Linked DNA regions of Styela clava. The protein of the gene in region 2 interacts with the protein of the main gene of each other region in a biochemical or structural test. Links are inferred from orthologs where the notes say so. Each region holds a gene or a part of one and is shown on either strand. Other genes may lie near its edges.

Region 1 (11,231 bases), on a different chromosome or scaffold from region 2:
ATGTTTGATTTACAACACAACATTAATGTGATTTATGATCATCCGTGCACAATTTACCAATTCTAGGAGCAATTTGTAACAAGCAATCTTGTAAGTCCGACTCTATGACAAGTATTTTGTCATCTTATTGGTAAGAGCTGGAAATGCTGCATCACACATGTAGGTCGTTGCAAAAGGCGATGAAGTTTCATCAGTCATATCGTTGCATACTCTACCCTATGCAGTCATCACGGACCCCAGATTCCTGTCTGGGGAAACCCTGTTCTAGAGAAGCGAACATATCCTGGACCCAAAATCTGCAGCTTCACAGACAATTAACAGAATAACACTTTTTAATCTGTTTAAATAATAATGGTACTTAAAAACCAATTTTATTGAAAATGAGAAAAATATGCGATTTAGAAATAACTTTCCTATCAGTACTTTAACAGATAGAATCAAGACCAATCTGGCAATAGCAGACTCTGAAATATATTATGCATATTGAGGACTGACAAGGGTTATTCTTGGCCTATAAAAAAGCCTTGTAGAATGTAGTACTGAAGATTACACTAATTATTCATGCAATTTTACAAGTAAATATATATATCCAGTGGAAGCCTGGCTACTGCAACAGTGAAGTAAGTGATCCCATGAAAACAGATGTTGCACAAAGTTAGTTCTGTAAAAATAGGTTCATCACTATGCAAGCAGCCCAAAGTGGAATTATGTACAAAAAGGTCTGCTTCACCAAGCAAATAATACGATTGCTCAAGTGCACCGTACCCGTTGGCGCTGTGACTTGAAAAGGAGGTTAACTTGCAAAAGTTATTACGTAAGTGCGTGGCTTTGAAATCACAAAATATTACACTTCTTTCTTCTTTTGGGTTCAGGGGGTTCTAAAGCAGCCAGAATAGCCTCATCAAACACATTCTTCAGTCCTTTCTGTAACAAAATACACAGTGTCAGCGAGTTTGCCTTCTGCTTTAGGCGTACAATGGCATAAAAGAATCGTGATAACAGGGGTTAAGATGCACTTCTTTGTACAGCCTAGTTCCAGTGACATGTTAAGCTATACAGCATTTTGCTGAGTGTGGTATACATATTAGTTTGTCCTGTTTTTTTTTTTGACAAAATGAAACCTTGTCAGCTACAGTTTTATCTGGGCCATAGACTTTGTTGCTGGGCTTTTTATATAAAAAAGCTGTTCCGAAGTTTATCATCATGACGTTATTTTCATAAATTTTTCAGCGGAAATTCATATCCATAGAAACTATAGTCTTAATTTCAGCAGACACAAGCAGGCCAGGATTTGCCCACCCCTGCTCTAACCCACTGCTCAACTCTTTAAGTAAAAAAGCAAATACGCCTACAGGACATGCAGAGAAAAATAAAACAAAAAAATTACATGCTAAATGTTTTTGATTGGTTCATCGATACCAAACTCAAATTTCCCCCTTGTCAAGCAAATTTCAATCAGCATAAATCATGACCAGAAGGACAACTTTTATTAAAAAGTTCCTTAAATAAAGAAGAAATGAATAGACAATTATCGCATTACAATAGGATTTAAAATATTATTCTTTGTTGCATACAACCATTCCAATTGACGAGATTCTATCTTAGTTAGAGCTACCTAGAGAATCAAATGAAATAATTCTGTGCTATGCTATGTAAAAATACACAGGCTAAAGCGGTTTTAGAAAAGCGAGCTAATGCACATGCAGAAGCAATACACAGCGCCCAGTGTTTTTGAATCGGTTTTTATCATTTGGAGAGTAATAGCTCCCAACAAATTCATTGAGAGACTGTAGAACAAAAGGAATATGGCGTTTGAAGAAAATTCTAGTCTGATTTCAAGAAATCATAGGTCCACTTGCTTGATTATTATGATAAATCAAATTACAATTATTGATTATTAAATTAGATACAAAATTGCTCAATATACTATTATCGGAAATCTTCACAAGAAAATGAGATAAGTAAGCATATGCAAAGCAAATAAAAATAGCATTCAAACGAAATACAACATGAAAAGAAATATAGTTTCTGTCCTCTATAATCATCATTCAAGAAAATAGGGATAAATTTATGCACAAATACGTAGATAGAACTGAAATGGATGCGGAAATATTGATCAGGCAACCTTCATACCACAATTACGTACAAGATTGTTATAGCAATTCGCAATTTCCTCGTTTCTTCTTTTCAGATGGTGGTTCCAAAGCAGCCAAGATAGCCTCATCGAAAACATTTTTCAAGCCTTTCTGCATGTTGATTAGCACAATTTTTATATTTTGTGATAACGGGATATCAATTAAAGCTATGTAGTACCAAGACTTAATAGTTTCTTACCTGTGTTAAAGCAGAGCATTCAACATATTTTACAGCCTTTAATTCTCTAGCGAGTTTTTCTCCCATTTCATGAGCGATGGGTTTTTGCTTATTTTTGGATAATTTCTCGATTGTTCCAACATCGTCGCGCAAGTCAACTTGTGTACCGACAAGTAGGAATGGTGTTTTTGGACAGTGATGTGTTATTTCAGGAACCCACTATTGAACATAAAAAGTTAAAATTAGATTATTTCTATGATTTAAAAAGTCTGTAGGAGTTTCCAAATTGCTTAGCCCAATAAAAACATCAACTGTTGCTACCGGGATGGAATTTACTTGCTTATATCGTTGCCACTTATAATTTACTAATGTGCAATATAAGTATATAATTTTATCAGAGCAAATTCAGTCAAGACAAAACAGTAACCTTCACTTTCTAAAACATCCTCACATATTATCAACAAACCACAGCAGCACAAAAGCATAGACAAAATTTAACTATTGGTACGTAGTTCTGCAAATTGACAAAAAAGGGCACTGAAAAAATGCTGGATCTTTAAATCTAGTCTTTATGTATGATCAGGAGTACACATACCTTTTCTTTAATATTTTCAAATGAGGATGGGGCAACAACTGAAAAGCACACCAAGAATACATCAGTTTGAGGGTAACTGAGTGGCCTTAGTCTGTCATAATCTTCCTGACCTGTGAAAGAGAATATTGTGTTACAACACATAATGAAATATTTATAATATTCGTAAGCCGTCCTTCAATACATTTAAAAACTGGGTAAAATTAACATTACTTCCACAATATGTGAACTGAGATGGCGAACACCGGAACGTAGTATGTGTACCGACCAAGTTAGGGTTAGGCAATAATTTTATTCCAGTTTTCCCTATTTTAGTTTTTTTACGAGTTCGGGGACTAGCCAATTGACTCCCGTAGTATTTGTTACTACGGGAGTACCAAATTAACAGCATCTGTTTTGGTCAAAATTTGCTAGCTTGTTAGGAGAATAACTAATTTAACAATGGCTGACAATTTTTATTAGTCGATAATACTTTCACTATGCTGTGGTCTGTGGATAATGAGGCACATTCACAAGAATGTAGTGGGATGCTCAGTGTGTGGCAGCCAAACAATTTTTCCATCGCTCACCGAGTACATAGATTGATTAGGTAGGTATAGAACAGACAAGAACTGAGCTTGACACGGTTGATAAACTAGATAAGCCTAGGTAAACATATTTACAGAGGGAATGATAATTTGAGATTATTGGCACCCAACTCACTTATTTAAATTAGTGAGAAAATCATCAGTGGGCGGAAAAACAGTAAAAGAAAACGACTAGTCATTAACAAATGTTTAATTGACAGAATGCTTATCCGTCTATTTAATGAGAGTTTTTACTCATCTCAAATAAATATTTCACCTGCTGTATCAAATAATCCCAATGTATATGGTTCTCCACCAATCATTACAGTGACGGCATAATTATCAAAGACCTAAAAAAACAGATTATATTTAAATATTTTGTCTCTATGTAGATATTTACCAATCTACGACATAGTTCTCAGATTCCAAGAATAGCCCCCATTTCCTAAAGGAGTCTGGGTTGCCATAAAGGTAAAAATGGGCATACCGGCGCTGCGCAACAAGCTAAAAGAAAGCGCAATTTAAAAACTTCACTATTGGATTCCTCAAAAATAAAGTCAGATTTACCCACAGAAAAAAATTTCCCTGTAGCATTCGGGGTTTTTGGAAAAAAAAGGAAATTTTGGTCACATGACGGTGGACACATATTAGAGACGCACGTTTCAGAGTCAAATTGAGTGTTTTATTTTATTGGACCAAATTTCTGGATATCTTGGAATCGGAGAAACGTGTCCTACTTTTTGGTACACAATTGCAAATTATTTTCCCTGAACTTTCAAAGCATCAATTTTTCCAATAATATTTAATTCAAATGTGTTATTCATATATAATATCATTGAATAATGATGGCAAATCTGAATAGTTAGAAAGCAAGCCACTGCGGTTGCCAATTTACATGCAAATTTACGTAGCGTGCTGAATATATATAGTTTTAACTATAAATAGCCCGGTCCATCATGCGCCCTACCAGTAATAATCACAATGGGTCATTGAATACATCACTTAAGTTTTTTTTTTTTTGAAAGCACTATTCTCGTTTATACCAAATTCTTTGAATATTATGTTACAAACACTAAATATACAATTATGAAACAAACTGCAAATAAAGGCTTATTGTACATCCATGATATTTTTATGCTGTACCAAGAGAGCCATAAAACGACAGAAATTTCGTTGTCTGGAATAAAAATATGCCATGTAGGCACTTGTTTTAAGGATTAGAATATGTTGACAACCCCATTGTTTACTTGCATGAGCTCCCAGTTATTTTAGTCAATACCTGAAAAGAAAATAGATAATGATTCGCATGCATCAAAACAGAGAATAGCATACCGTTGGCACATATTCTGATGGAAATTTATTTGTTGTGTATGAAATAAGCAAACAGGTTTTACCAACAGCTCCATCTCCCACAACAACGCATTTGATGGTTTGCATATTTATTTTATTCAATTAACTCTATGGAAGAAAACAAAAATATTAGTTAGATAGATTGAACTTATGGGTTGTTAATTCAATTTACTATAGATTGTGTAACCTCTGGTTAGACTTTACGGGCCAAGCATAGCTGCACATTACTTTAGTTTCCACGAGTCTGAACCCGACACCTGTATATGGTTACCATTCTTTTTGGATTTTTTTCATCCCCTAATAAGCATGAGAACAACCTAAATCAGTGGTTCAGTAGATTTGATTTTGCCCGCATTATTTCAGATATTCACGTGCCAACCACATATTTTCAACATGTTTTTGAATAAAACATACTTTCGTCTTACTATCTGTTATTTGTAGCTTATTGTTAGTTACCGTAGCTACTTTTGAGGGGCGCAAGACTTGACAAATTCTAAAAAGGGGCGCGGCTTAAAAAGTTTGAGAATCACTGATCTAAATCAATAAATTTAAGTTTCATGACATGTTAGGTCGAGGAAAAATAAAACTAAAATATACTCCAACCAGTAAAGTCCTGATTTTAAAAGTACTTCAGTAAAACAATATCATCTACAAAATTTTCCATTTTTGACTATCAATAGTTAATAGTATCTATTTATTTCTGATTCCTATTGTTATAGTGTTAGTTCAGACAGTAATATAAGACATCATATGAAAGACTATGTGCCAGCTTGAGAGATGATTCATCCCCCCACATGAGATGACTCAGGGTATTGGTAGTCCAGAAATCACTGGGTCAACTAGTGTCAGCAGTCAGGCAGAAAGACAGATGTGCGAAACGTACCTATATACTTTTGCGAAACATTTAAATAAGTATTTATGATTCTGAAACATAGCCTGAATCGAGACATCTTTATAAATATGAATTTGAAAACATATTTGTCAATAGCCATGGAAACTGATTTTGAAATTCAGTAATATCTGGAACTACACTGTTTTGCTTGGTTTTCAAATTTGCATGCAGTGAAGTAAAAAATAATTATATATATATGGCTTGATTAGCTGGACAAGTGCTAATTTTGTTGCAAATTGCAATATGTATTAAAAACAGTGTATTATAAAAATTTACAATATTGAATACACACTTCAACTAATTTTAAGAGTATACAATTTCAATATCACTGGCTGGTTATGTAAGACTTAGGTCCTAAGTTCCAGTTGGCTCTTTTTGCCAGAAATATGTATATTTTAGTAATACGGTAAGTCAAAACAAGTTTACTTTTCTTAAACAATAAAATGAAAATCAATTGTACACAAATCATGAGAAAATGATAATTACAGTGGGGTGGGATGGGAAAATCACAGGGAACCAAAGCTGGTTAACAAGCAGCAACACTTATTATCTAGGACCTAGGTTCTAATCATGGCACCTTACATGCTTAAGAAACGTCAATGCTTTTTTTGGAATATCGTAGATGACTAAACAAGATTTTTTTATCGAGTTTTTGCCACTGAATCTGTAAAAATGCGCTGATTCAAAGAAGCATATTTGAAAGTCCAAGTCATATATATTGAAAGCAGTATTCACAAACAATACAGTTCAAAGTAATAACATTTTATGAGGTTTTATTGCCATGGTTCTAATTTGTGACAGTAATAAACAAATCATGATTGTATTCAAGCATTGATTTTATGGCGATTGTTAAATTTGTAATAAACATGTAATCAATAACAGCTATTGGGGTGTAATAACATAAAAATTTCCCACTAGCTTATGACAGTTACTTTTGTCTACCATCATCTGATCAAAGAAAATAATGCTTGTCGCTGAGGATTTATGCTATGGGTATTACTTATGGGTATTACTTACAATTTGGCGTGGCAAAAGAATTTATTCATTTTTTATTTTTTTAATTTGTTTGTATATTTTCCTTCCTTTTTACTTTTAAGTCTCGCTTTTTTCGCTTCCGACAGTATCATGTCTCGATGATTGTGTGTGTGTGTGTGCGTGCGTGCCTTCATTAGTTTTTTTTTACTTTTGGGTGAGCGAACACGTACTACTTCTTTTATCAATACCTTTCCATCTAAAATCTGTACGTTTCAAACCTTACTCTAGGTTTTGTTCGCTTTCCCGATTCTATAATCAGTTACTTTTACTTTTGTTTTTATCTATTTTTTTTATCGTCTATTGCTGATTATGGAGTCGAAATAAACTTATACTTATACTTAAAGACAAAAATTTGAACACAATTGACATTTGGACATATGTCAAAAATAAGATCTGAGTGCGTGTTCTTTATGTCACTCATATCCATGAATCTTGAAAAGTAGGAATCGCCAGTCTACTTACTGACCTAAGAAACTGAATGTAAAACCGTGTAACTGCAGAACTGTATACCCAGCTAAACACACAGCCTCTATTACACTATGTCTTTAATTTGAACATGAATAGTTACCATTACCCAATCTGACATAGGCCTATGACAGTACAATATTTGAATATACTGATATAATGTCTGAATGTGGCATCACAGTTTCACACAAAAGTTTAGAGTGGCATCACACTGAACAATTTTTTGTAATTATTGATTATCCTCATTTCATTCAACGTTCAACATATCTCTGTTCATCACATATTCTTTCGACCCTTTTCTTTTGATTATTAACCTAATTAACTTCCGGCCTAATTCCTTCCTTGAGTGATAAAATGTGTGTTACTTTCAGCTACCTTGTGCCTACCTATGTGACGACGCTGTTCGAGTAATATAGCGGAATACCTGGACTACGTCAAAATTCGAAATCCGACAATACTATTGTTTGAAACATCGTAACTAAGAAATAATTATCAATGGGTGTAATACTAAAAAACGTAATGGTGGTATCGCCAAGCACAGCAGGTCCGAAGAGCGAAACGTATCAACATAAAGATAAAAGCCAATTGAGGAAGCTAACAAAAGAGTGAGAATAGTTGCTGCGTCGTTTCTCTTTCTTTCTATCTTTCTTTCTCTTTCATCAATGGGCGGGCGAGGCGTTCCGGGTCTGACTGACGCTTTATCAGGGGCAGTATAAATACCGGCGTCGCCGTGAATGAACCTGTCAGAAATGGTTTCGTTACGTAGCTCTCTTGGTCGTGATTTGGCTTGCATGATGTCAGCGCTTGGCTACATCAGCGTACGGTTGTGTACGTTTATTGACGTATTATGTCACAACACGTTATGGATAATTGATGAGATTATACAATAAATTTGTACAATTACATCGACTATTATTTTTATTGTGAATACACCACTTGCCGTGTTAAACAGGCATTGATAACATAAACCATTTAATTTAACTGCGACTTCACCGAAGTCTCTATTATGTCAAGTTGGGTAACAAATCACACAACCTAATTGGCCGCCCATCGCTTCATTTATCGATTTTATCAGCAAGCTTATGTGTTCCAAGCCATCGTTCGCATAATATTGCAAACTGTAGTTTTTTTTTTTTATTTCTCTCGTACGATGTTTAAGAGCCGGATGTAAAACCTCCGTTTCGGCCTCGCACTGCTGGTGTAGTGGTATCATGCAAGATTCCCATTCTTGCGACCCGGGTTCGATTCCCGGGCAGTGCAAAGTTTTAATATTGCAAAAAGAAAAAATGAATGCAGACAGCGTTATCGACAATTTCTCAGGAAGTCAAAACATGCATTACGTCATAGACTTGTCAAACACGGAGATTGTCAATTGAACAAGTCTGTCTATGACAAAAACGTTTCAGTAATTGATACTTGAAAATGTTCATTGTCGTCACGCTTTTTCATTGCCAACAACATCAAAACTCATAGCTTATTCATTAACGTAGCACTCATCGACTGGACTACTTTGGATAGATTGTTCAAATTATTAATTGTATGGAAATGACACAAAAGGGAAATCCCGACATTAAGCAACAAATTACCAATGACAAATACGGCTGTTTCATGGAAGCTAGTTCCCTCGTTTATTTCCGTGACAATGACTAATCGGTAATTCGAATTCAAGCAGAAGCTCACTAGAACAACAAACGCACATAAATATTTAAATGACCAAACATTTCCGTAATTGGACTTCGTCTTTCTATTCTACCTGTATCAAAGTTAAGACTTTTATCACCACGAGTGCCTCAGCTAGATAACCAACATTGTTTTTTCGCGTCACCCTTCTCCGAGAAATGCCATTTTCATGTTTTTTTTCCTAGTTTTTGTTTGCATTAAGTGTATGTTCATTTTAGTGAATAATAAACTACTGAATGAACAAGGTCCTGTACAAGAATGCTATTATCTATAAGTAGACCTACCAGACGTCCCGGATTGGCCGGGACAGTCCCGGTTTAAACGTCTGTCCCGTCCCGGATAGCAAAATGTCCCGGTATTTTACTTTGGTGAAATTTTCAAAAAAATAACTCCCAACCTGATGCAAAATTATGAAATAATTCCGTCCCAAAAGGCATAACTTTGCTTTAACTCGAGGCTTATTTTAATATCTTAATTTTTTATCTTATTAGGTTGGATAAAATATCGCGCTTAGCTTGAGAAATCCTTTAGTTAGGGAATAATGAGTGACGTTTATTGCGTCATTATTCTATTGACTTTGATGATACTACAGCAATTGCTGCATTAGAAGCCATTTTAGGTATGCTTGGAGTTGGAGAACGCATAATAACTTTCATTTGATTTTGTTTGAGTCATATTATGCTGAGAGTAATCTAGAACTTGAGATTCTTTAGAATAATGCAATATCAAAGCTTATAAATATGTAATAAAAATTTGCCAAGCTCAGGCCTTCGGTCCATGTATTTCCGGGAGCCGTTTCCCGTCAGCAATTACATATCAACACGGTGAGTCCAAGTTTAGCATCTCTAGGTGATGTACAAATCGAGCTGGATTTTCATCGAATGTGTTGGAAGGACTATATCACCTTTTTTCTTCCACCCAAAGAATTTTAAACTGGCCTTTATTTTATATTAGGCGATTATGAATATTTGATCTGTGATAATTTGCACCACATAAAAAACAGATTTGACCAAATAGAGATCTTAAAGTTTTTATTTTAAATGAAAGACGACAGCGAGGGTGGTTTGACCAAACAACAGAAACAGATTAGTTTCTCACTTGTGATATTATACTAAAACTGTATCATATTTCAAACAATTCATTCATCGGGACATATTTTAACCATATCCCTCGATATGATTGCCTTCGAGGTATCTCTATAAGTTTGTTTGCCCAAAATTAGCAGCACATTCACATGGACATGGTACAGACACAGTTGTGCAACATGTGCAATGGATTTACTCCTCATGTGTTGCCTAATGTCAGAAGGAACAAAAATTAAATGATTGATCTGTATTTGTCCAGTTTGTAAAAATCAAATCACTGCACTCAGAGAACTTAGAAAACTTACAATGTTCACATTATCGACATTCGGTCACTGGTTTTTACAACTCCTATCTGTACCATATTATAAAGACTTCCCCACTAATCACCATAGAAAAAGTTTAACATTCTTGAGATTGCATACCAGATTTTGGCAACAAAAAGAAAAACAGAGCACGCAGATAAATCCAGTAATAACTCTCAAAGTCAATATGATCCACTCCACACTCCTGTAATGCTTCTGCCAGGAATCGCCACTAACACAATCAACTCACATCACTTCATCATTCGTTTGAGAAAGCTATTATGGAGATTCCATAAATTGGCCACAGTTTAGTCTTACTGCAGAGTTGTACTCTTCCTCAAACCTATTCTTATTCCTGAAGCTTCTCCAGAATATTTCTTTATCTCAGGCCTATATTCACGAACTTGTCCTCTTCTTCGTATCTTTGCTTTCCTGTATTTTTGTCTCATTTTGACACGAGGATTACGATCAATCTTCCGCCTTTTCTGACGAAGTCCTTTGTTCTTGGCAATCTGTTGACGAAAAAAGTTGTAAAAATGAGAAATGACAATGATTGACCAATTTGAAAATAACATAACTCGCTCGTGAAAACAAATCACAGCCATTGGAGGGTGCAAAGTCAAAAACAAAATAATAAAGATGACTTGGTAAAATGAATCACATAAATTATTGATCAGGCTTAACTAAAATTGTGATAAATCAATATGGAGTAGATCATTGTCTTTGTTGAAGAATACAAAATGTTTTACCTCATAATTTATTGCCCTTCGACCATTTGTTTCATCGTCATCATTGTCAGCAATTCTGTGAAAAAATAAATATTAATTAGAATTGCAGCGCAATAAAGTATATTTCAGTGGCATGCCTAAGGAAACTAATATAACCTTCAAATAAATAAAAATTTTCTCTATAAAATGTAATAAGAACTGCAATGAAGAATTGCTCGTTGCA
Region 2 (10,491 bases):
AATTTTTTGTTTTATTCGAAGTGATACCTTTTGTGTTAATAATGATTTATGACAAGTTTGGTCTTAATTACTTTCAAGTTTCAATTGCAGTATATTAATTTAAACTAAAATATTCAAAATAGTTTCAATTTAGCATAGGCTATTCCAATGGCTGCCACATAGTGCATGTATTGGAAACATGCGAGCTATTGTACCTCAGATTGCCATGCACAGGTTTCATGTGTGAGAGGATTCCTGGTCCCTTGGTCTCGTAGGGTGGTTAACATACCCACTGGTCATCCTATCAGCATTTCGCTCCCTGGGATGAATATCCCACACAAACAAAATTTAACAAAAAAATCAAAAATTAAATCTGTTAACTAAAATTTCACCTTGCTCAGAGCCGCTTCACATTTCACACGTTTTGCTTCTTTCAATCTATTCTGGTATTCTTCTGCATTGTCCTGAGTGATACCATTCAGACAAGCATTCGGATTTTGTAATGTTGAAAATGTTTCCTCGACAACATCTTTATCTAATGCTTCATTGATAGCAATAATAGCAGCATGCACTGAAAAAAGAAAATTATATGGAGTAATAAGTTGAATGCGTTAAACTTAAATCGCCTCTCCTGACTTTTGACCCTTACGGTAATTTCCAAAAATTGAATTCCTGACAAAATGTATGACAAAAGTGATCATTCCTTGACAACAATGACAAGCATATAAAATTGGAATATCAGAGTTCGAATTTAGGCTACCTTTTCATAAAAACTATCCCATGTATAACTTTGTATAATAGTAAATGCAGAGACATCCAATACAACTTGTAGAAGAAGAGCCAATACAAATAATCTAATCAAAACAGAATCTGATGCATCAACTACTTTGAAAAATTTGGGTAAACTAACTATAATATAATGATATCAACTTACAGGCAGCTTCATCAACTGACATTTCGTTAGCAAGGATTCCACCAATTTTATGGAACTGAGGCATCTGGATTCCGTATTTATCAAGTTCTTTCTGCATGTTGCTGATCTCTTCCTCTGTAAATTAAGCAGGTAGTAACTTCAAATCGGTTTGTTGAAACAAATGTTTACAACTTTTATATGAATGACCTGAACTTGGAAGAGTTTTCAGCTATGGTGCTCAGTAATCTGTGAGGCGTCATTTGTTTACTGTCAGCCCAGATGAAGATTCAAAAAGGAATGTGGAATTCATTACTTCATGGCTATTTTATGTTTTATCATATTATTATTGACTCACTGATTGTATTGCTTCAGGTTGCATTTGAATTGGCATTTGCTAATGTGTAACGTACCATTATAATTATCAATTTTATTGCTATTGTGCTATTTTATTGTTTTATTGCGCATTTCAGCCTTTTACTTCGATCAGAGATGTGTTTAATTTTACTCCTGAGTCAGTGTTAGACATTATAGCAAGTCTAAGATGTAGGGGTTTTATGAGATGGAATTCACAATTGAAATGTATTCAACCTCGTTCCCTTTTGTAAAATATTTATAACTGAAGTGGAGAGGATAATAGGAATGTTCAAACGAATCGAATATTCAAACACATTCAAAATTCATTATATTTGAATATTCTATATCGAAAATTTTGGAATTCAGGAATAATTTAGAATGTTTTTATTTGAAAATTTGGGATTCCGAGCTGTAAAACAAGCATATCAAAACATATGATATCTCAACTGATAACAAACAATTAGCAGTGACTTTTATAAATATGTCGCTTCAGAATGATCAACATGAAGATATACAGATTTATATAATTTTCCACATGTACTTGCCTCCAATTTGGAATATATTCGATGTGTATTCGAAATAGTGAAATATTCGGTTTTGGCCATCTCTGGTATGATACTACATATCCCAGACTACTGTATATGTTACAAACTTTAATCAATGATATTTTTCAGTTTTAGATAGCCATCTAAGTCTGAAAAAGGTTGTGAAATAAAAAGATCACAAACCTGTGAATTCCACTTTTCCATACAAGTCCTGAATCTGGGGAGCGATTCCAAGGCGGAAAAGAAATAAACTCAGAGCATGAACACAGTAAATAGTTTTCGGCATGTTCTTACGGTCGTAGATATCCGTTGTTTCAGGGTAGAAAATCTGAAAAAGAAAACCCAAGTTATCAATTAGCTATATTTTAACTAGCAAATTACTTATTTTTAAAAAAATTGAATAATCCATGCACTTGACATTCATAAGCATTCAACATCTAATGGTCACAACAAAAATAAACTTTGTGTAACTTTTGACACTGACAAAAAAGAAAACCAATCAAAACTATCGGAACGTAGATTTCAATTAGGCTATTCGGAATATATTGCATCATTGAGCATCAATCAAATGTATTCAAAAAAGCAAATCTACAAAAATACAATTTTGCAATCAGTTTTTATACATGTGTCTAACAGCAGAATTCTATCAGAATTCAATCTTCTTTATTATAAATGAGTATTTGAACTGATGGGCCAAATTCTGAATATCAATCTACAAAGATATTCATGAACTTCAAATGTCTTATTAAGAAACGTTTTAGCTTGACACATATCATGATCAATTTTTTATTTATCATTTATTAATATGAAATCAATATAAATCAAAGTGTAGAAAGGCCACAGGCTAAACCATTGGCAAACAGAACAGAATGACAAAGATTTGTGGTTCAATGGCTGAAACAGGAAATGACTGGAAGCATGATCGATGCTAAAGAAAAACGCCCTTGCATGGAGCCAATAAAGCGCCGATTACATCATTCATACTATAAACTTATATTATTTGACCAAAAAAGGAAGTAGGCTTATAATGTTAGTTATCTGATGGCAACACAGTGAAGAATAAAAATATAATATGACAAAGCGTATAATAAAAATGTCGCCATCGTCAGACAAATCTAATATTAGAATTATTAGCGTCAGTGGGCCTAGCAATTTTCGCCACAAGCGAATTGATATAACAATATTAGCAACCTAGATGACATTAAAAAGGCCCAACGCATTTTGGGTAAAAGGCCAATTTACCACACAATGGTGTGGTTACACAATCGTTTTATTGTATTGAAAACCTGGAATTTACGCTGTTACATGCTGTTGGTTCAAACAAGGGCGTTTAAAAGTAAAGATCTCCAGAGTATGGAAGGGACAAATCTTTTATTGTGGAGGTTTGAAACAGTTCTTACTAAAGTGGAATATCATTATACAACTTTGATGATACCTGACAGTGTATTGCACAAAAGTTAGTTATATAGTGGCATGGTTTGAATACTTTGAAATAACATTTGTTGAATTAAGATTAATAAGAATTAGACTCAGCTCACAATCTGAATTTCCCAAGCATTAAATATTATCAATAAATACAATAATCAAAACACTACCTTTTTTTTGCACACCTACATTTAATCTGAATATCAGATTTACATATACACTATGCATTCATTGATCATGTTCAAACTAACTAATTTTAAAACCGACATGGACTGGTTACAGGACAAGACGCTGTGGTTTGCCATACGACTAAGCCCTCATATCGGCTTTTCTATTCACTGGGATAAATATATTAATCCTATCCTAACTAACCAACTCAATGACATAATAAAGCGTACCGTTGGTAATCCAGTCTCTTCCATTGCTTTAAAGAAATGATTAATGTTGTCAGTGTGTTTGAAATGGAGACCTTTCTGCTCATATTTTTTCTGATCTTTGTCGTACACTTTTCGGATCGGAACCACTTTAGGATTGAAAAAATGTGCAAGTTTTGCAAGGAATACACCATTTTGGAGACCTTCTTCCAACTGGACACTAGGCGGTAATTCCTCATTTATACAAGCTTCTATCCATCTGGAAAACAAAAGAAAAATGGTAAAATTGGAATATTGAAATGACAGCAACTATTAATCAGTAAGACTAAATCATACAGAGCAAATTGCCAATTAGCCATACTTTTAATACAAAATATGCATAGATTAGGATTAGTATATACGAGTACAAATATATGGAATTTGAAAACATATTTTGGAAGCTGTATTTGATACTTCAAATATACAAGGTCTTATTACCTTTTTGCTTCTTCCAAATGGCACAAATATTCATATGCTGTAGCCTGGTTACGCAGGCTGTCCATTTCTTCAGCCGTGAGACGTTCATCTTTGGTGATGCCTGTGAAAATTTGAAATTATTGAAATTGTTTCTTTGTTTTCATGTACTAACAATACATTCTCACAGTCATAACCTCGACCCGTTATATTAAATAATCGTGAATTAGAAACAATATTAATAACAACAGTTCTAAAATATTAAGGCTCGGCAGTGTGGCGCATCGCGCTAAGTGTTAGAAATATGCTTGCCAACGCAAGTCATATCACTCTGTGTAGGTTGACAGGTTCAAATCCTGTGGTGGATTATCTTTCCTCTCATCCGGGATAATATGTAAATCCTAAAATCCATAAATTCACCAGAAACATACACATAATCAAGCTATAACTCATATTGACATTGTCTTTTAAATAAAAAAAGCACAGAAAAATCATCTAACATTGAATTTAACATGCTCCATGGTCTTCATTGGTGTTATAGTGAACAAACAATAGGCTAGTTTCAAATTTTGGTTATATCATGAAGTGTCATCATGAGTAGGATAGCTAAAATGAAAATTCTTATTCCGCACATGGAAGTGACAAAAATTAATTTAAACCTTAATAATAAAGTGCCTCACATTAGCATACTCATGTAATGAATAATGATAAACATTGACTAACAGAATACAAAAACTAATGGTATAAACAAAAATTGTTGAAATGATTTGTGTGAAAAAACTAACAGCTTTTAATAACAATGTCCTTCCTGAGTTCATTTGTATATACCTACCAAAATCAGAAGCGCGTAGTGAGAAAGATAATTTCCTTGTTAATTGTTGTGATTTATCACTGGCTGTACTACTGCTTCGACTACGTGGTCCAGGATGATAACTTTGTTGGGCATGGGGGTGTGGCGCAGGTGTGTGATGACCATTAATTCCATTTTGTACAGGATGTTCTGAGGTCATTTTTTAAAAATCTTTTGTTCTCCCAAAAATAAGCTTGCAGACTTTATGTCTGTTATGTTCTTTGTTAATATCTACTTTACTACAATTTAAATTTTACAACCTTTGGAACAGGTTCATTTTGAACTGTTTTTACAATAAAACGAACAAAGTAAAATATATTTGAATACATATATGAAACAAGTTGAAATTCAAGAGAGTGAAGCCAAACTTGAATTATTTATCACAAACAAGAAAAATACTTTAAACTTTATTATTGTTTAATTCTTCAGAACATATTGAACTATTGGAAGGGTAAAAATAGTATAAACTAATCGATTGATCAACTTGGTTATGTTTGTATCACATTTGAATTGATTACTTTGACTAAATTGTGACAGGTCAGAAGAAACAAGGATAAAAATACCACCATTCTGCCAATTCTATGTCAAACTCAATCTATATAAAATATAACACCGCCAATTACCCTGTGCCTGCAATATACTACTCTAGAAAGAGCTGCAAACAAACTATGATTTTTTTTACCCCAAAATTTGCTAATGCATCTTATCTAAATTAAGTAAGCTAAATAAATGTTATTCGTCCTTATTATTTCTATTCCATAAACAAAAATGTTTCAGTAAAATTCCTTTCTACTCCACAATATCCTTCCTTACCACTCTCAGTTGGTGTCTCGTTTATGGCGTCGGAATACAGACGCTGATAATCTGCCAATTAGTCTTGTGCAAACAAAGAGAAAATGCAAAATACAAAGCACGTCTTGCTGGGAAATCCGCTTTTACTGAGAACCCGACCGACTTCAATTCACAAGTTTATTTCCGCGGGGAAAATAAACAGACCGGATCTATTTGTTGTTTGGTCTCTAAATAATTAGAGAGAGCAAACACAAACAAGTGCTTGACCGGCTCGTTGTTTCATTCTTCCTACTTCTAACGTATGAATCTATCTCTGATACATTCGGCCGTATGTTCTACGTCTCTACGATATGAAAGAAACCGACTGCGATCGAGGAGAAATTTTATCAACCTATAACTATAACATTCAGGTTATAAATAAGAACCAAGGACTTTCCTTATAAAACAGATATGCGAGACTATGGCGTGAGGTATACGCGGACTATTCAGGTGCAGTCTCTCGCATTCCATCCATCTCGACCTCATTAACATCGATTGAGCGCAATACAAAATTTTGCAGAAAGAGTTACACCCTAAGCCTAACAGTCCCCTCACGCTATAGTACCAGCTTAAGGTAGACCTCGCGCTATAGTGTGGTAGACCTTCACGTGATAACAGCAGAAATATATTTTACAATAAGAGCCTGAGCTGGGACGCAAGTCCGAAGATTCGGAAATAAACTTTTCATTACCAAAATAACAAGCGCAATTCGAATTTCCTAAATGCAGCATTATATCTATTGTGGAAATAAAATTAGCAACACAGCAGATTTATTTACAGTCAATAATACATGAACAAAAACCAATTGAAATGTAATAATGATGGGCGATGATGGCACACTCGAATGTGTAGGGCTGTAAGTTGTAACAAAGACTTCACAGAAATAAGTATTGCAACCATGCTTGAAAATTGTTAAATTTTGGACTTCGGACAAAATTTTGAACGAACGCTAATTGCATTGACACCTGCTGGTGAAATAATAATACCTGTTGAATATAGGAATAATTGCGCTCGGCTTTGTAATAGAAAACAAAATGTCCAGTTATATGTCGCTGAATTTTATTGTCTTCGTTATGGCTGTATGACATCACTATTCCATTTCTGTCACTTTTCATAAGGTCAGAAAATCAAACAATGAAAATTGCAATTTGGAAATGTCAGCGTTTTTATTGTTCTTTTTTCTGAAATGAAAATGTTATGTGCGATACGATATTCCGTTGCCTGATGTTACTGATTTCGAAGCTAGCAACCCAAGAATATTCTAAGTCCAGTTGTATTACTCCATACTACGTGACTGTCTATAAATCCAACAAATTTAACGCCACAGACGTGTCAGTAAAAGTTCTTCTTGACATATTATTCTCGTTCCTAAAACTGAAACTTGGTTGACTCATATGATTTCATTTCGTATCTACATCTAATTAAGTCACGTACAAGCGTCCATAAATTTTAGTCAGTACTGATAAAGCACGAGAATTAATTCGAAACAATATTATACTAAGATTCGCAGTTACCGGTAAGTACACTTACTGACTATACTTGCAAAAGCTTTCTCATATTAAGTTGACACTGTGCTATTCTATAAATGCTACTAATTTTGTCGCACAGACTTGATTTCCATTCAGATCAGAAAATTGGCCATCGACGACTAAATGAAGTAATCATTTTTCACATGCGCTGCGGTCACGATCAGTCTATCTAAAACGGTTCAATAATTGAACTTTCAATTTCAACAAATTTATCGTCTTCATATATCATACACACCAAGTACAAGTCGCGTTCTAATCCCGTATTCTATTTAATACCATTCGTTATAAATTGACATTTCCACGAGGGACTTGGCGAAAGAACATGAAATTCTTTAAAGTGGGCGGCTCTTGGGATTTCATTTTGATAAAACGACTACACAAGACGAGAAGTAAAGAGGAAAGACCTTAAATGACCTTTGATACATGTTCTTACACAAATACGTAAATAACGATATGCGATCCATGTCCATGATGTACCAATAAGAGAGGCATACTCTCCTGCGGATAAGATACACTCCACAAGCGTGGTTGACCAATGTTCCGCTCGGATTTCTCAAACGAAAACGATTACAACTACATACTGTTCGGGCAATTCGAAATATTCATCAAATTAGACGCGGTTCATTCAAAATCTAGCATGATCGACAGTTGATGGATATACTCTGATAAGAATTCAATGAACCTTTAAAACTGGGTTTCTTATGTTATACATATTACGTTTGAAGAAACAAGCTTCGTCAACAAGAAATCTTCATCGACGAATGAGTATGAAAGGCGATTAGCATCTCAGAAGCAGTTTACCGTGTTGTATATGAAAGCACCGTTTACTGGGCGAACCCTCAGCTTTGATAAATGTTTGACTCGAAGTTGCAGTTCCAATTTCAAATAGCTATTGCCAAAATATCCATCAAATGTCTTCGACATATTCCGACAGGTCGACCATTCTTGAGGTCGCAAGCGGTATAGCGATACAACTGGCTGTACTCTACTTTGCAGAAAAGTCATGCCTGCCATAAGTCAATCTCATCCCGATAATTTCAAAGTAAACATTAATCGAAAATTTGCACAAGTCTATCATTTGGCTAAAATATAATTTAAACGTTCCTTTTATAAATGGTGTTGGTTTTATAATATGACGCAAAGAGTTTCACTTTGCTGAGCATAAATCAGTAAATCTAAGCGCTAGCGTGTATTCGACAACATAGGAAGACAATTCGGCTAAATGCTAGGTCTTTCCTCCATCCTTATATATACAGGCCATGTTATACTAACTCTTTCATTTTCCATAACATAAAGCAGACGCTAAAGAAATTGGAGTTTTCCCTTAGTAATAAATGATCATACGCTCTTCACATTCCTCTCACATGTACAAAATGTATGTATTTTCTGGATACGAGTTCGGCTTCCCAGTGCAACCCTTAAAAGTTGAACGAAACCGGTCGCATTGTTGGCTAAACACACAGTAAGGAAAACGGGACGCTCCAACATGTCTATAAAATAAATACTTTCCATGAGAAATTAAAGAACTAAGCAAACATTCTTTGACTGGTTGTGTTGTATCGTCGGCAAATACAAATTTAACCAGTTTCCTTTACTTATTCAGAACGACAGTGCAAATTGACAATCTTCCTAAGTGATGTTTTATTTGGCGATATTCTCCTACTTGTCGCAACATGTAGCTTGTCATGGAACAACAATAGATTAATGACAATGACATATTCCACCAGCAAAATACTACTATACGCTGTCGGTTTGCGTTTTTTCCTCTAAACCAGTGGTTCTCAAACTTTTTAGGCCGCGCCCCCAATTTAGAATTTGTCAAGTCTCGCGCCCCACTTTAAAAATAACTAGCTAACAATAATCTACAAGTAACAGATAATAAGGCGAAAGTATGTTTTATGCAAAAACACGTTGAAAATATGGGGATGGAACGTGAATAATAAATAAATGAAAAGTTTAAAAAACAAATAGGCGGGCAAGATCAAATCTCACAATTATTTTTATTTAGCCCCACGCCTTTCAAAAAATTGTCTACGTCCCACCGTTTGAGAACCACCGCTCTCGACCCTCGTGATTTCTATGATATCTACTTTCTATACACTAGTAAAACTCCGCGAACGATAGTTCGAAATAATGAAACAGGTACGTCCTGAATTTTACTGTATGCCTCTGCGGTCTACAATTCGCAAACGAGCCTTGGAAGTTTCTAAATATAGCAAATCGAGAACAAGAATTACTTGGCAGTGTGAACAGTGTTTTGCAATCTGATCAAATTGAGCATTGCTGCAGCAACCAAAGTGGCTTAAAATTGATTATGATTCAAAAACAATGTGGAACAAACTTCAGTTTATGCGATAGGCTCAATGCAATAAGGTATGTAATAAACTGTAGATGTACGTGTATCGCGATATTGCCAATAAACCAATATTTAACTTGCTGACGAATCTTCCAGAATATAAACACAACCTTATGCGACAGACGACACACCAATATTAAAATTGAGATTGTATATATAAGACTACGAATTCTTTTGGTCGCCACGCTGTATACACAATCAAACTACTCCCTAATAATACATTTTCACATATATATGCTATATAAGGTTACACTTTCGTCAGTAGATTCATGAATTATATCAACCTGAGCATTCTGAACAAATTAACACCCTAAATCCTAAATTGAAGCTTGCCTAATAAAGCATATAATTTCGGTGGAAAACTTCCCATTATAGGCGTCATCGCTTTACTGACTCAACATCCAATACACAGTAAGACATAAGAGCGCATGCGCGCTAAATCGTTAGCATGGCATGAGTGCGGATTTCCGGAGTTATTGACTGAATGTGCACATATAATATCATGATACCGTCATGTAACACTCATTTCATGAAACGAGACGACGACACAACATTCAAAACATTACGATACTTTTCTTAGCTTATACATATTGATCTGATACATCGAAAGTGTAGCAATGGAATTGGATAATTTATTTCAAAAACCGAGCCAATTACCGGTAATAGGCAATAGCACTCTCGACAAATGCAGAAACTTGCGCCTCTTTCCGCGTGTGTCAACAAGCCCATACTTACGAATGGGAACTATTTCATGCTTACAACATTTAAAACATCGGAAATATTGGCAAGAATTAGGCCAATTGACAAGCAAAATTCTTTTCACTAAAACAACAACATATCATCAGCTTCGGTTGATATATATTTGAAGCAAGGTAAAAAAAT
Region 3 (11,144 bases), on a different chromosome or scaffold from region 2:
GCAATCTCCAAACAATAAATATCATGTGGATATCCGAAATAAGATGAGCAAGATCAAATCTAACAAATATTTTTGATCTTAATCAGCTTCATGCACCCTCAAAAAATTGTCTAACTGATGGATATACAACTAAGGCAAAATTACGACCATGTAACCCACTAATCAATCAATAGCTCTAATTCAAATACTGGGCTGCATGAATGAAGGTGATAGTAAATAAAAACAAACTAAAAACATCCTGAGTAATTCAATAAATAGTCTTGCTGCACACTAACACAAATATAGAAATATATTTGTGTTAGTGTGCAGCAAGACTATTTATTGAATTACTCAGGATAGTTATCTTCACTCTTGCTACAGCATCCTTGCATTATATGCATACGGATCCACCGACGCAAAAGCATAGAAAACGGAAAAGTAGTTGGTCTTGTAGAAACCCAATCGATAAACTAAAAACATATGGCGAGAACATATGAAAAAGTTATTGTGAGAAGACTGACTCACTTCGTTCCAAACTTAAAAACACTACATTGATCTGCTTTATCTCTCAAATCTTTCAATCTTGCTGTCTTCTGCAAAACTTGGGACTTCAATGATTTTCCAATAACGGCTCCAACCTATATTTTAATATTGATAAAAGTGTTCAGAAAAGATTCTTGCCAAGATGGTACAGTCATTAGGGTAGATGGAGAAAAAAGTGAGCAATACAGAGATATAGGCTACTGAAAATTTGAGAAAAATGTATGTTTGCGAAAATCCAACATGTTCATCTTAAGATTGGCCATTTCATTGTTTCAGCAATAAGTTTTAACTTTCCAAGCAATATATTTATATATATCTAATACAGCCAAATTTGTACTAATGTCTTTCTTGTAAATTAATAATTACGAGTTAAATTTTCGAGATTCCTGATTTGCACTTTATTTCAACTTTAATATTTCAAATAAATCGGCAATTTTGTTTTTGTGCAAATTTTCTTAAGATTTTGTTGAAACGCGGGCTGGATTATGTGATTGAACTTACAACACTTTTCAGCATTTTTAATAGTAATTGGATTATTGAAGTTAATGACTGCAGATTTATTGTGATCACAAGCAGAGTGAGTGAATAGCCTAAGAATAATGATTACCGTTGTCTTGCCATTAGGAAGAAATATCCTGATCACTCCCACAGTTTTTCCAAGTTGATTATTTGTGCCATTGTGATGTGATCCATCTGATGTATCATATGCTGGTTCTATTCAAAGACAAAAAATATTTTGTAGGGTGGAGATTAAAGTATAATGAGAAAACACTTGCAGAAATAGCAGGATTTACATTGCATTTGGCTTTACAGGGTTTATATTAGTTACAATTTGGGCAAACATAAAATTACAGCTGCACAGCATTCAACAGGGAAATTCATTGAAAAAAATTCCTAAACCACTAAGGGGGTAGTGATTCCTTCCATTAACTAGAAATAGGAGGTAATAATATTAGTTTTACAGTTTTAACAATGAAACAAATTTATTTATGTTCAACTCAATCATCATATCCAAACTTTCGTATTTATCTAAATGAAATTTAAAATATCATGGTTCGCCAAAGTTGACGCTTCAGAAGTATGTGTACCAATATGAAGGTAACTAATTTTGTTTGTCTACTTTACATAAAGTTGGGTAAAGGAATGGAAGCCGATGGGCAGGGGGTATATTCACTTGGCTAACACAGACAGTCCCGGAACTTGTAATAGAACTTAAAAAAGAAAAATCTGAATAAAATTATGGCCCAACCCTAACCTGGTACACACACTACGGGAGTACTAACGTTTTACGTTAGAGTCATTGTAATTGAGTCACAATAAATATCTGCATATATACACCCTAGATTACAAGTTTCTAGAAGAAAAATCTGAATAAAATTATGGCCCAACCCTAACCTGGTACACACACTACGGGAGTACTAACGTTTTACGTTAGAGTCATTGTAATTGAGTCACAATAAATATCTGCATATATACACCCTAGAATACAAGTTTCTAGAATTACAGTGAGATCCAATTTATATCCAAAATGTCTATTTAAAATTAACGACTTACCAGTGCCAACGTACTGTGGACCAGGTGGGAAAAATATTCTGTTGCCCGGTAGTGTTTGCACCCCGGATGGTTCTTGTGAAAATGAGTTAGTTTGTGATCCTGTAAAACATTTACATTCCAATTAAAATAGTTTTACACTGCTCTAGAATCAAATATCAATAAATCATTAATTCTATTGAATTGCCGAATAAAATATCATAAACTTATGCTAATAATTGACTGAAAATACAACATGAAAATAGAAAATAGCATCCATGCATGAAACTGGATTACATTGAAACAAAAATATTAACATATAGCAGCAGACAGTATACTTATTGTGTAGATTTTCTCTGAAATGAATACAGGAAAGTTGAAAAATTGGCTTTAGTTATCTTCGCTCCAAACTCGAAATCTGAATATATGAAATATTGTTTACCTTGTAATAATTGTTGTTCCAAAACATCAGTGAGATTATGGTGCCTTGTTTGAAGATCCCCGAGTTTGTCCGTTAACTCACGATATTCCTGGAATAAGAAAAGAAATTCACGGTAGTTACACTCAGTAATATACCTCACTGGTAAATGAGCATAAAAATAAAACTATGGAAAATTTTGCGCTTTTCACAAGAATTCATTGATATCAATGATTTTTGGTTATGTAGGAAGTAATATACTTGCATCCAATCCTGAGCAAGATATTGATAACTAAAATGCACTATTTTCACATGATATATTTAGTATAACAGGTCAAATTAAAGCATGGCGTTTATATAGTGAAAAAAGTTGCAAAAACAATAATATTGACACAAAGGCTTCGTTGATCAGAGATAGCAAATATAAATTTAGAACAGGGAATAATAAAAGACATTCAAATTCTGCTCCCTCTGGAAGGAGGGAGAAGATTAAGTTTATGTAAAACAAAGATTGATTTTTGTAAAGATGTATCTGGCAGAAGTTATTTTATCTACACCCCAGGCATGATATTAATCAAACCACTTCATCTACAGCAAATTACATTGCATATCAATAATTAATGCATGGTTGAAATCCAGCAAATCAAGATAGAGATAATAAGTAGCCTTAAATAGATTCTCATCTTTGCAGGCATCATTTGCAAATGTTAGTCAGTGCGAACACTGATGAAAAACACCATAATATGAATTTAATTCAACTTGGCTTTTTAAAAAAAAGTTATTGCTTAATTAAGGGATTGATCTACTTCATTTATGCCTGATTGGATTGGATTGGATATTTGGATTGGATACCAGGTTATGGTTTCTATTCAAAATTAGTTTCAGAAACCACAATGAAGCCAGCATAGCTGTTCCAATAAATCTATTGCAAAACCAATTTCATTGTACTTGCTGAGGCTTTTGAACTTCAAGCCGTTACAAAGAATAAAAAGGAGAATAGTCTTCGTTCAAAAAACCAGATATTTTGATAAATCCTGAAATATGAGAACAGCTTGCCTAACCACCATAAAGATACACAACCAATGATCAATGAGAATACTTACTTCAAGATAAATAGGCGGAGGGTTCGTATTTCCACCAAATTTATCATTCAGTCGGATAATGGAATCTTTGGTCAATCTGATTACTTCATTCAAATTTTGAAGCTGAAATATCATTATATGAATCATTAGTCATTACACTCAAAATATTGTTAGAGGACGGCTAGCGAACTTCTTGGCATCTGAGGAACCAGTATTGTCAGTGGACTTGTCAGTGAAAATTGGGTAGAATTCGGATTCAAAAATTCATAGTTTCCTGAAAAATTGTTCTGATTGATATTATATAAAAAAACTCAGTTAAAAAACAGTTATTTTGTAAAATAAAAAGTGATATTGGTATGACATTGTCTGCATTTTGGTCACTTGCATTTTTATGAAATTTTAAAAATGCACTTTTTAAGTCTGTGGAGGATAATGTAAAAATACAAGAGGAAAATAATTAGGCACAAATCATTCTTGAACAACAGCAAATATGACAAAGATAAGTTGAAACATAAACAAGGCTTTTAATTTTATTGTTAGCCAGATATGAAATATGTAACAAACCTTCATGAATACAAAATAAACTGCCACATTTTGGGATTCAGAATACAACACAGAATTTCGATTACATATTTCAGATCTATATTAAACAATGCACTCACATCTTCCTGTATCTTCCTGATGTCACTTGATCTCCTCCCCTCTGATGAAAAGAGAGGTTGAGTCATGGTTGACATTCTTTTAGAAGATCCAACCATACAGCATTTACTAGTGTGCTGTTCAGTGATATGTCATCAAATATTCAAACATAACTTTTCATTATTAATCAGTTGATTGGTTAATTTAGTAATATTTCATCTGTCATAGCAAGGTTTATATTAGTGTTTTATAGTCATCTATGAGCTCCTGGTACACATGCTCGTATAGTTTTATGCTAGTGTAATGTTTTTATTCAAAAGGATTGCTTCAAAAAAACAAAATTGTTACAAATTATATGATAAGATAAATTGGGGTAGAAAAAGGGAAATCGTTGAAATGACAATGCGAGTCATTCAATGAGTTGGGCAATGGCACTGAGCAGTGAATCACCACTGAATCTGTGATTTTTTTAACACTGGTGATACTAACATCGATAAACTAAAATGACAATATTATATTTTCTGCTAACAAGCATAAAACAAAGGGCATATGGCTTAATATTGTTTGTTCTTTGATTTACCAAGTTTGTGAGCAACTTCTTGAACTAGCAGTGCTCCCCTCACAATTTTCACACAATGTATAGACTGACATTTCCCTTACCCAGTGCAAATAAATCAATTTGCCACATCCAAGAGTTAACATTACACACGCGCTCAAAGTCAACAACTGGAATAGTGTACTTGCAGTTGCACAACAGTCTAGCGTTTACAGTCTGGCATTTCAGAGCCCATAAAAAATCTATCTGCTGCGACAATTTGACACACCTTGGGGGGACACAGTTAATGATATATTACAGACTAATTAGATTCAATACAACTTTAAACAGTTGTTACCAAGCACTTCAAAATCGCATGTTCTTTGTAAATTATAGTGATAAGAAAATGAAAGAATATGAAATAATATTTGAATAGCGATAAAAATGGAGTTAGAAAGCCCCGCTTCTTTAAGCTGAAAGATGTCATTCAGAAGCAGGTGCAAAGATATATTATGCTTGTACTCTAACAATATGCTGTGTTTCAGCTCATTACCCTCTTATAAGATCGAACAGAGGACAATCGGTTCGTTGTACAGCAGTACAGTCTGGCACACTATCCAAATTCCAAGAGTTTCCCTCCATTTAGTTCAATAAAACAAACACTCCAAGTGTCTCACAAATGAGGGGCGTCTGGCACGACGGCAGATGAGTCATATTGCGCCATGCTTGTCTCAATAATAATCTAATTAACCGTGGCCATCATGTGATCAAAATTGGTGTTTTTTCTTAAAAACTCTCAAATGCCACGGTAAAAAATTTTTTCCTTAGGTAAATCGGGTTATTTTTTCAAAGAAAAGTCCCACAGTCAGTAATACTGTAATATGAATTATCTTTTATTCTGTGCTTGCTGTCGGCTTTTATGCTGAAGCTTCCTTCCATCAATTATAACAGTGAGTGAAAACCACTCCTTTACAAGACCATCTAGGCCACCATATTGACATAAATCGACAAACCAGCCTTTTGCAATAAACTAACAGGAAGCGCAATTTAAAATTATTAGATTCTTCATAAAAAAAGGATCCAATTCAATGGAGGAGAATTTTTTTAACGTAGCATTTGAAAGTTTTCAGGTCCTGTGACTACTGCGACTAATTTAGATTATTATTGAGACAAGCATGGCACAATCTGACGCATCCGCCGTCGGGCCAGACGCCCTCGTTTAAGAGACAAATAGTGTGTTTGTTTCATTAAACCAAATGTCGGGACATCTTAGAATTGGAGAACTGTGCCCTTTCTGATGATCACAAACTATTCTGAATCCATAATTTATTATCTGGGAAATAAATAGATAAAACTACACAGAAACACCATCTAAGCTACGGTATACAATTTCAGAATTTAGACTACTACCAATCTGTAAAATAAACATTGAGACAAAAGATACGGTACCGGTAACCAATCGTATCTCAAAGTTCTGAAGGAATAAAGTGAAAATAAAACTGAACTAAAATACGTACTGCAGTACTGCAATTTCATAAAAATGATATCACAACACCAGAATGGTACCAGCGTACAGGAATAACAGGATAACGCCGTACCGTACAGCCAAACAAGTACCGGTACAGGGTACGGTACCGGTAACTTTGAATTTAACTTACGTGTCTGTGTCAGCTCCGGTAGCGGTACCGTACCGGTACTCTGGCGTTGTTCCAAAAGTCCATTGGTTCAACTGAAATGATAGAATTCCATAGAGCCTGTAAAGCTGTACAAAGCATCAACTCAAAAGTATTCGGGTAGCTCAGTCGGGAAAGCGAGGACAATAAACCAGTAAACCAACAGATAAACCTGCCGAAAGTAAGGGAGAGTCATTGGATCAGACAGAGGAGAACCGGTTCGTTGAACCGGATTTGAGATACCCAAATAATAAGTATGTATGTTTATTTGCCTCAAAATGTAACAGTATCTGCATATCAATTAAACAGCGTAAAAAATACGGGATACATGTTAAAACCCTTACTGGCCCAAGACACAGATGTGCGACATACATCTCTACCAAGGATTAGGATTTACATATTTATCCCGGGGAAGGGAAAGTCGATAATATGGCTTAACCCGTAGTAGTATATATTTACGCTTAACCACATGGCGAACCACGGCCTCTCGTCCGGTTACCATTTCATGTCGGGTATAGAATTAGTTAGTTAATTGTTTCTGGAAGCATAGAATTGATGGTCGGGGAAGCCGTACGCGGTTACGTGAACCACCCTACGGCAGCGAGGAGTCCAGCAATCCTCTCGCACATAACTATCCCTGAATGGGCTTCGAACCTGCGAACCCACGCAGAGTAGGGGAGATGCGGGAGAGATGAGCCATTTTTTATACAATTAGTTATATATCCTCAATGAGAACGTGAACGACGTGTGAAGTTCCAATAATGCTGGGGATGGCTAATTTTCTTGCGATGTCTTTCTTCGACCAAAGTGCTTCATCTTCGACATCCAGAATAAAGGTAGTTCCGTCATTTACGCTTAAAACCAGGCGGAGAAACACTCCTTCAAAAGCATCAACTCTTGCGACGTATTGAACAATTCGAGATTTTCCACTTATCTTGACTATGACAAAATCGCCTTCAATAATATTTTGATTTTCTTCTCCTGTGTCATCAGTATCATCGCACAATACATTCCCGTCAGATTCACTTTAGCTCGAAGTGGTGCATCCGGATGGTGCTACCCTCACTCTAACTGTTTCCTTGTTTGCAAAGAGCATTTTTTAACCCGACCGTAGTTCTTTGCTCTATTTTATTCTAATCTAGCCACTGATTTGCTGCTATTTCATTTCTAACTGGTGTGTCTGTCAAAATTTCCGAGCTTCCTTTTTTTCCTATTGGAAGCTTTCACCTTCCTTAGTCCTGCATTGGGTAAAGGTAGTATTTTTATCACCTGGAAACACATAAAAAGTCTCTGCGTTGCTAGTCTGCTCTGCTCCAGTCAAGCCAATATTGGTCTCAACGCCAGCTTGATTGAATTGTGTTATCTTTTTGGTACGTGGGAGTATCAGGATTACTCTGTAAACCTGACGCATTTTCAACATTGTCTACTGCCGAGCAAACTCGCGTTCTGTAACTGAAGATGAGGCATATTCTTCATCCAAGAATACGTCGCTGTTGAAAGGCATAATTCCAGTGCTGTGAAAGCCAGCTAGGATATTACGCAGTACAAAAGCGCAGATGGGAGCTTCGTTCACCAAATGAGCAATATCGTGTATAGACACAGTCTTACCCGGATTGGACCTCATCCAATTATTCATCGCGCGCGCGTAGTCGCTTTTGTATGGTTCATAAACAGTCTTGTCTAAAGGCTGGAGTTTGTGGGACGTGTATGTAGGAATGGTCAACACCACAACTCTGCTCGTCTTCGCCTTGTCAACAGCTTTTAGTGAAACGTGGGACTCGTGATTGTCTAAGATGAGCAATACCTTTCGGTCGGGTACACAGCGTGTATGCTTAATGAAGTGATAGAGATAGTTGACAAACGTTTCCTCGTTAATCCAACCTGATCTGGTGGCGGCACCGCCAGATCCCAGTGGTGCACCTCGTATGAAGCAATTACGATAGTTCACACGGGGAAATATCATGTAGGGCGGAAGAAATCCACCAGCAGCGGTGATCGCATTGACTACGGTTACCGGCTCACCTCTTTCACCCGATGAAACAGAACCGATTTGCTTAACCCCTCTTTCCGTAACAATGCTTTCAGGCTTTAGCACCGTATGGCACCCTGTTTCATCAACGTTATATACGTCTTGTGCTTCAAATTTGTGTTGATCCATTACTTTGGCAAGGTTTTTGAAAAAACTGCCCCGCTGTATGACTATTAAACGCCGTTGCTCTGGCTAACGAAGTAGCTTCTGGACTTCGAATTGAAAGGTTATTGCGGGCTTTCAATCCAAGCCGAAACCATAGACCAGCTTTTTTGTTGATTTTCCAATTTTCTGGCACATCAATACCGTTTCTTTCTGCAAACTCGTACGCCAAACATCGGCATTTATCTTTGGATAGGCCATGGAAGTTTGCTGCAAGTGTTTCGATGTGACTAGCCAGTTCAGCTTCTATTTCAGGACTGAATATCATATTCTCGAGCTTGCAATTCTTGTATCCGCTTACACCAAGCGGGTCGTGTTTTTGTTCATCGATGTATCGCTTGAGTGTCATTTGGTCCACATCAAATGTTCTCGCTGCGGCCCTAATACTGCATCCCTTTTTAACCGCTTCTGCCGCCCTTTCAACTAATGCCAGATCACTTCCACCGGTTGATTTTCTTTTGTATGTTTGCGACATTGTCTGATAAAGAAAACATGTGATAAGAAATATCCAATGCAGTAGCGTTGAGCCACGAAGCAAACCCTCTTGGTGACCGCTGGATCAACCCTCCCATGATCGGCCATCTTCCCTGTTAAGCTCCGCTACTGCCGAATGACTGTTTGACGTGCGCGGCAATAGACTCCATTAGAGCATCACAGCATACACTACACCATAGGTTCTAAAAATGTTCCGTACGGAGCCCCAGGGCTCCGCGAGAGAAACCCAGAGGCTCCGCGAGCTACTCGATTACTTTTCAAATTACTGACTAATTTTGTACCTGTTCAAAGAAGCAATAACAGCTTTGATAAAATCTGACAACAATATAGCCTCGAAATATGGCAAAGAGGCGGAATTCAAAAATGACATTATTTATAAGCAGGAGCGCAGCCAGGATTCTTAGGAGGGAGGTGGTTCCGCGCAACATTCTTCGCGATTAAAAAAACGGATAACGAGATTTCTGTGGCGTAAAATATTCAATCCATGACTGATGCGAGTATTTAACGTGTCTCTTCGTTATAATGTAATTGTGCTTATCGTTACTCACGTTTGATTCGAGATTACTATTGGGATTACTAAAATAAAAGTTTACTATTCTAAAATAACATAAAATACGTGAGGAAATTCACGTTGCGATCTTGAGATTTGTCAAACTCGATTTGTTCTTTCGCACTTGAGATTATTTTTAAGCAAGATATCGTTTAAAAAATCACAATGTCTGGGCAAAATACGAACAATTGAAATTTATTTTATTGCATTTGGCTCCGTCGGTAGTTTCAGAATGAAAAAAAAGGTACATCGCGCGCACAATTGACTGTGTTTCGATTTTGCAGTTACTACCATGAAAACCCAACACAATACCAAATTTTATGATTTACAATGTCTATAAAAGCGTTTTCAATCTGAGTCTGCTGAGGCTGAAACCAAACGTGTGATCTTTCATTTTAAGTTTTAGTTTTAATATTTTAGAATACTGCTTTTTAATCAAGAAATTTGAGTTGCAGAGTTACCTCTTTATTAATTATTATTTTTATCATTTCGTCGCCGATGACTATAATATGGAAACATGTTTCCACAATGAACTCATAGTTCCCCACGAGAACAAAAAAACAATTAACGCTTCATTGTGTAACAATACATGTACCTATATGCCGAGGGAAATTTTCGATTTAGGGAGAATAAACATCGGTGTAAAGATGTTAGAGGTTCAAAAACACACAAAATGCAATCGCGCACATTATAAGCGGCCTTTTGAGTCTTCCAAAAATGTCAAAAGGGAAAAGATTCGACCCCTAATTCATTAGTATGTTTGTCAAGTGTCAAATTTACAGCTTTAGTATATATATATAATTTATGTTTGAAATTTAGATTTATTTATGACTTGTAATAACCTTATTAAAAAAGGTTCAGCATTTAAATTGAGTAAAGTACTTTTAACTTGCTCAGGAATATTAATCTGAAAGTAACAAATTTAACATTTGTTCTAGGGCTCCGTGAATAATAGTCAACCTTTTCAAGGGCTCCGCAACACCAAAAGTTTGAGAACCCCTGCACTACACAATGACCTAATGTGACTAAACCACGACCTTTAATATTAGTAATAGTAAACATATTACCTGCAACCACGAAATCCACTCTTTGCTGCGATTCCAGCTTTTTCATCAACTGTTTTCCACCTGATCTACAGAACGTCTGCTTCTCACAGCCAAAAACAGTCGTGACCGAGCAGCTGTTATAACGTGAACCACCCCACGGCGGCGAGGAATCCAGCAATTTGATACAACCGCCCATACACAATAGATAAAATTAAAACGAAAACAACAAAAAAACTGATTTCAGAAACAGCAAAGAAAAAACGGTTTAAAACACATCAAACTTATATAAGGAAGCGTTGCCAAGAAAGACGGTAGCCTACGTGTTCATCCAAATTTTTGTGGTTTTGCGTGGTATTTGTCAGTTCGAGAATCCGAATTTCGCATCAACGACAAAATAGAAGATGAAAGTGTGAGCGCTGGGGTAATGACTGATGAAGCGGCAAGGCTGGAACGCTATCATGAA

What was found.
Region 1: the proteins of ras GTPase-activating-like protein IQGAP1 (region 2) and cell division control protein 42 homolog form a complex in vitro, tested with the Homo sapiens proteins (6 studies listed by BioGRID and IntAct). The link is inferred for Styela clava from reciprocal best matches to the Homo sapiens genes IQGAP1 and CDC42.
Region 3: the proteins of ras GTPase-activating-like protein IQGAP1 (region 2) and RAF proto-oncogene serine/threonine-protein kinase-like form a complex in vitro, tested with the Homo sapiens proteins (2 studies listed by BioGRID and IntAct). The link is inferred for Styela clava from reciprocal best matches to the Homo sapiens genes IQGAP1 and BRAF.

Annotation. Positions count from the first base shown.
Region 1 is NC_135256.1:6,374,496-6,385,726, reverse strand, and holds cell division control protein 42 homolog, read right to left. Parts: upstream 4,930-11,231; 5' UTR 4,909-4,929; coding exon 4,804-4,908; intron 3,822-4,803; coding exon 3,749-3,821; intron 3,019-3,748; coding exon 2,909-3,018; intron 2,533-2,908; coding exon 2,335-2,532; intron 2,247-2,334; coding exon 2,154-2,246; 3' UTR 2,147-2,153; intron 925-2,146; coding exon of another isoform or gene 835-924; 3' UTR 319-834; downstream 1-318. Other genes in the region: something about silencing protein 10-like, read right to left, coding at 10,595-10,792, 11,030-11,084. UniProt on the Homo sapiens protein: Plasma membrane-associated small GTPase which cycles between an active GTP-bound and an inactive GDP-bound state. In active state binds to a variety of effector proteins to regulate cellular responses. Involved in epithelial cell polarization processes.
Region 2 is NC_135257.1:7,264,865-7,275,355, forward strand, and holds the start of ras GTPase-activating-like protein IQGAP1, read right to left. Parts: upstream 5,183-10,491; 5' UTR 5,054-5,182; coding exon 4,876-5,053; intron 4,168-4,875; coding exon 4,068-4,167; intron 3,850-4,067; coding exon 3,615-3,849; intron 2,120-3,614; coding exon 1,975-2,119; intron 1,028-1,974; coding exon 914-1,027; intron 551-913; coding exon 372-550; intron 1-371. UniProt on the Homo sapiens protein: Plays a crucial role in regulating the dynamics and assembly of the actin cytoskeleton.
Region 3 is NC_135256.1:7,210,217-7,221,360, forward strand, and holds the start of RAF proto-oncogene serine/threonine-protein kinase-like, read right to left. Parts: upstream 4,411-11,144; 5' UTR 4,311-4,410; coding exon 4,215-4,310; intron 3,676-4,214; coding exon 3,574-3,675; intron 2,583-3,573; coding exon 2,495-2,582; intron 2,176-2,494; coding exon 2,077-2,175; intron 1,237-2,076; coding exon 1,130-1,236; intron 618-1,129; coding exon 505-617; intron 1-504. UniProt on the Homo sapiens protein: Protein kinase involved in the transduction of mitogenic signals from the cell membrane to the nucleus. Phosphorylates MAP2K1, and thereby activates the MAP kinase signal transduction pathway. Phosphorylates PFKFB2.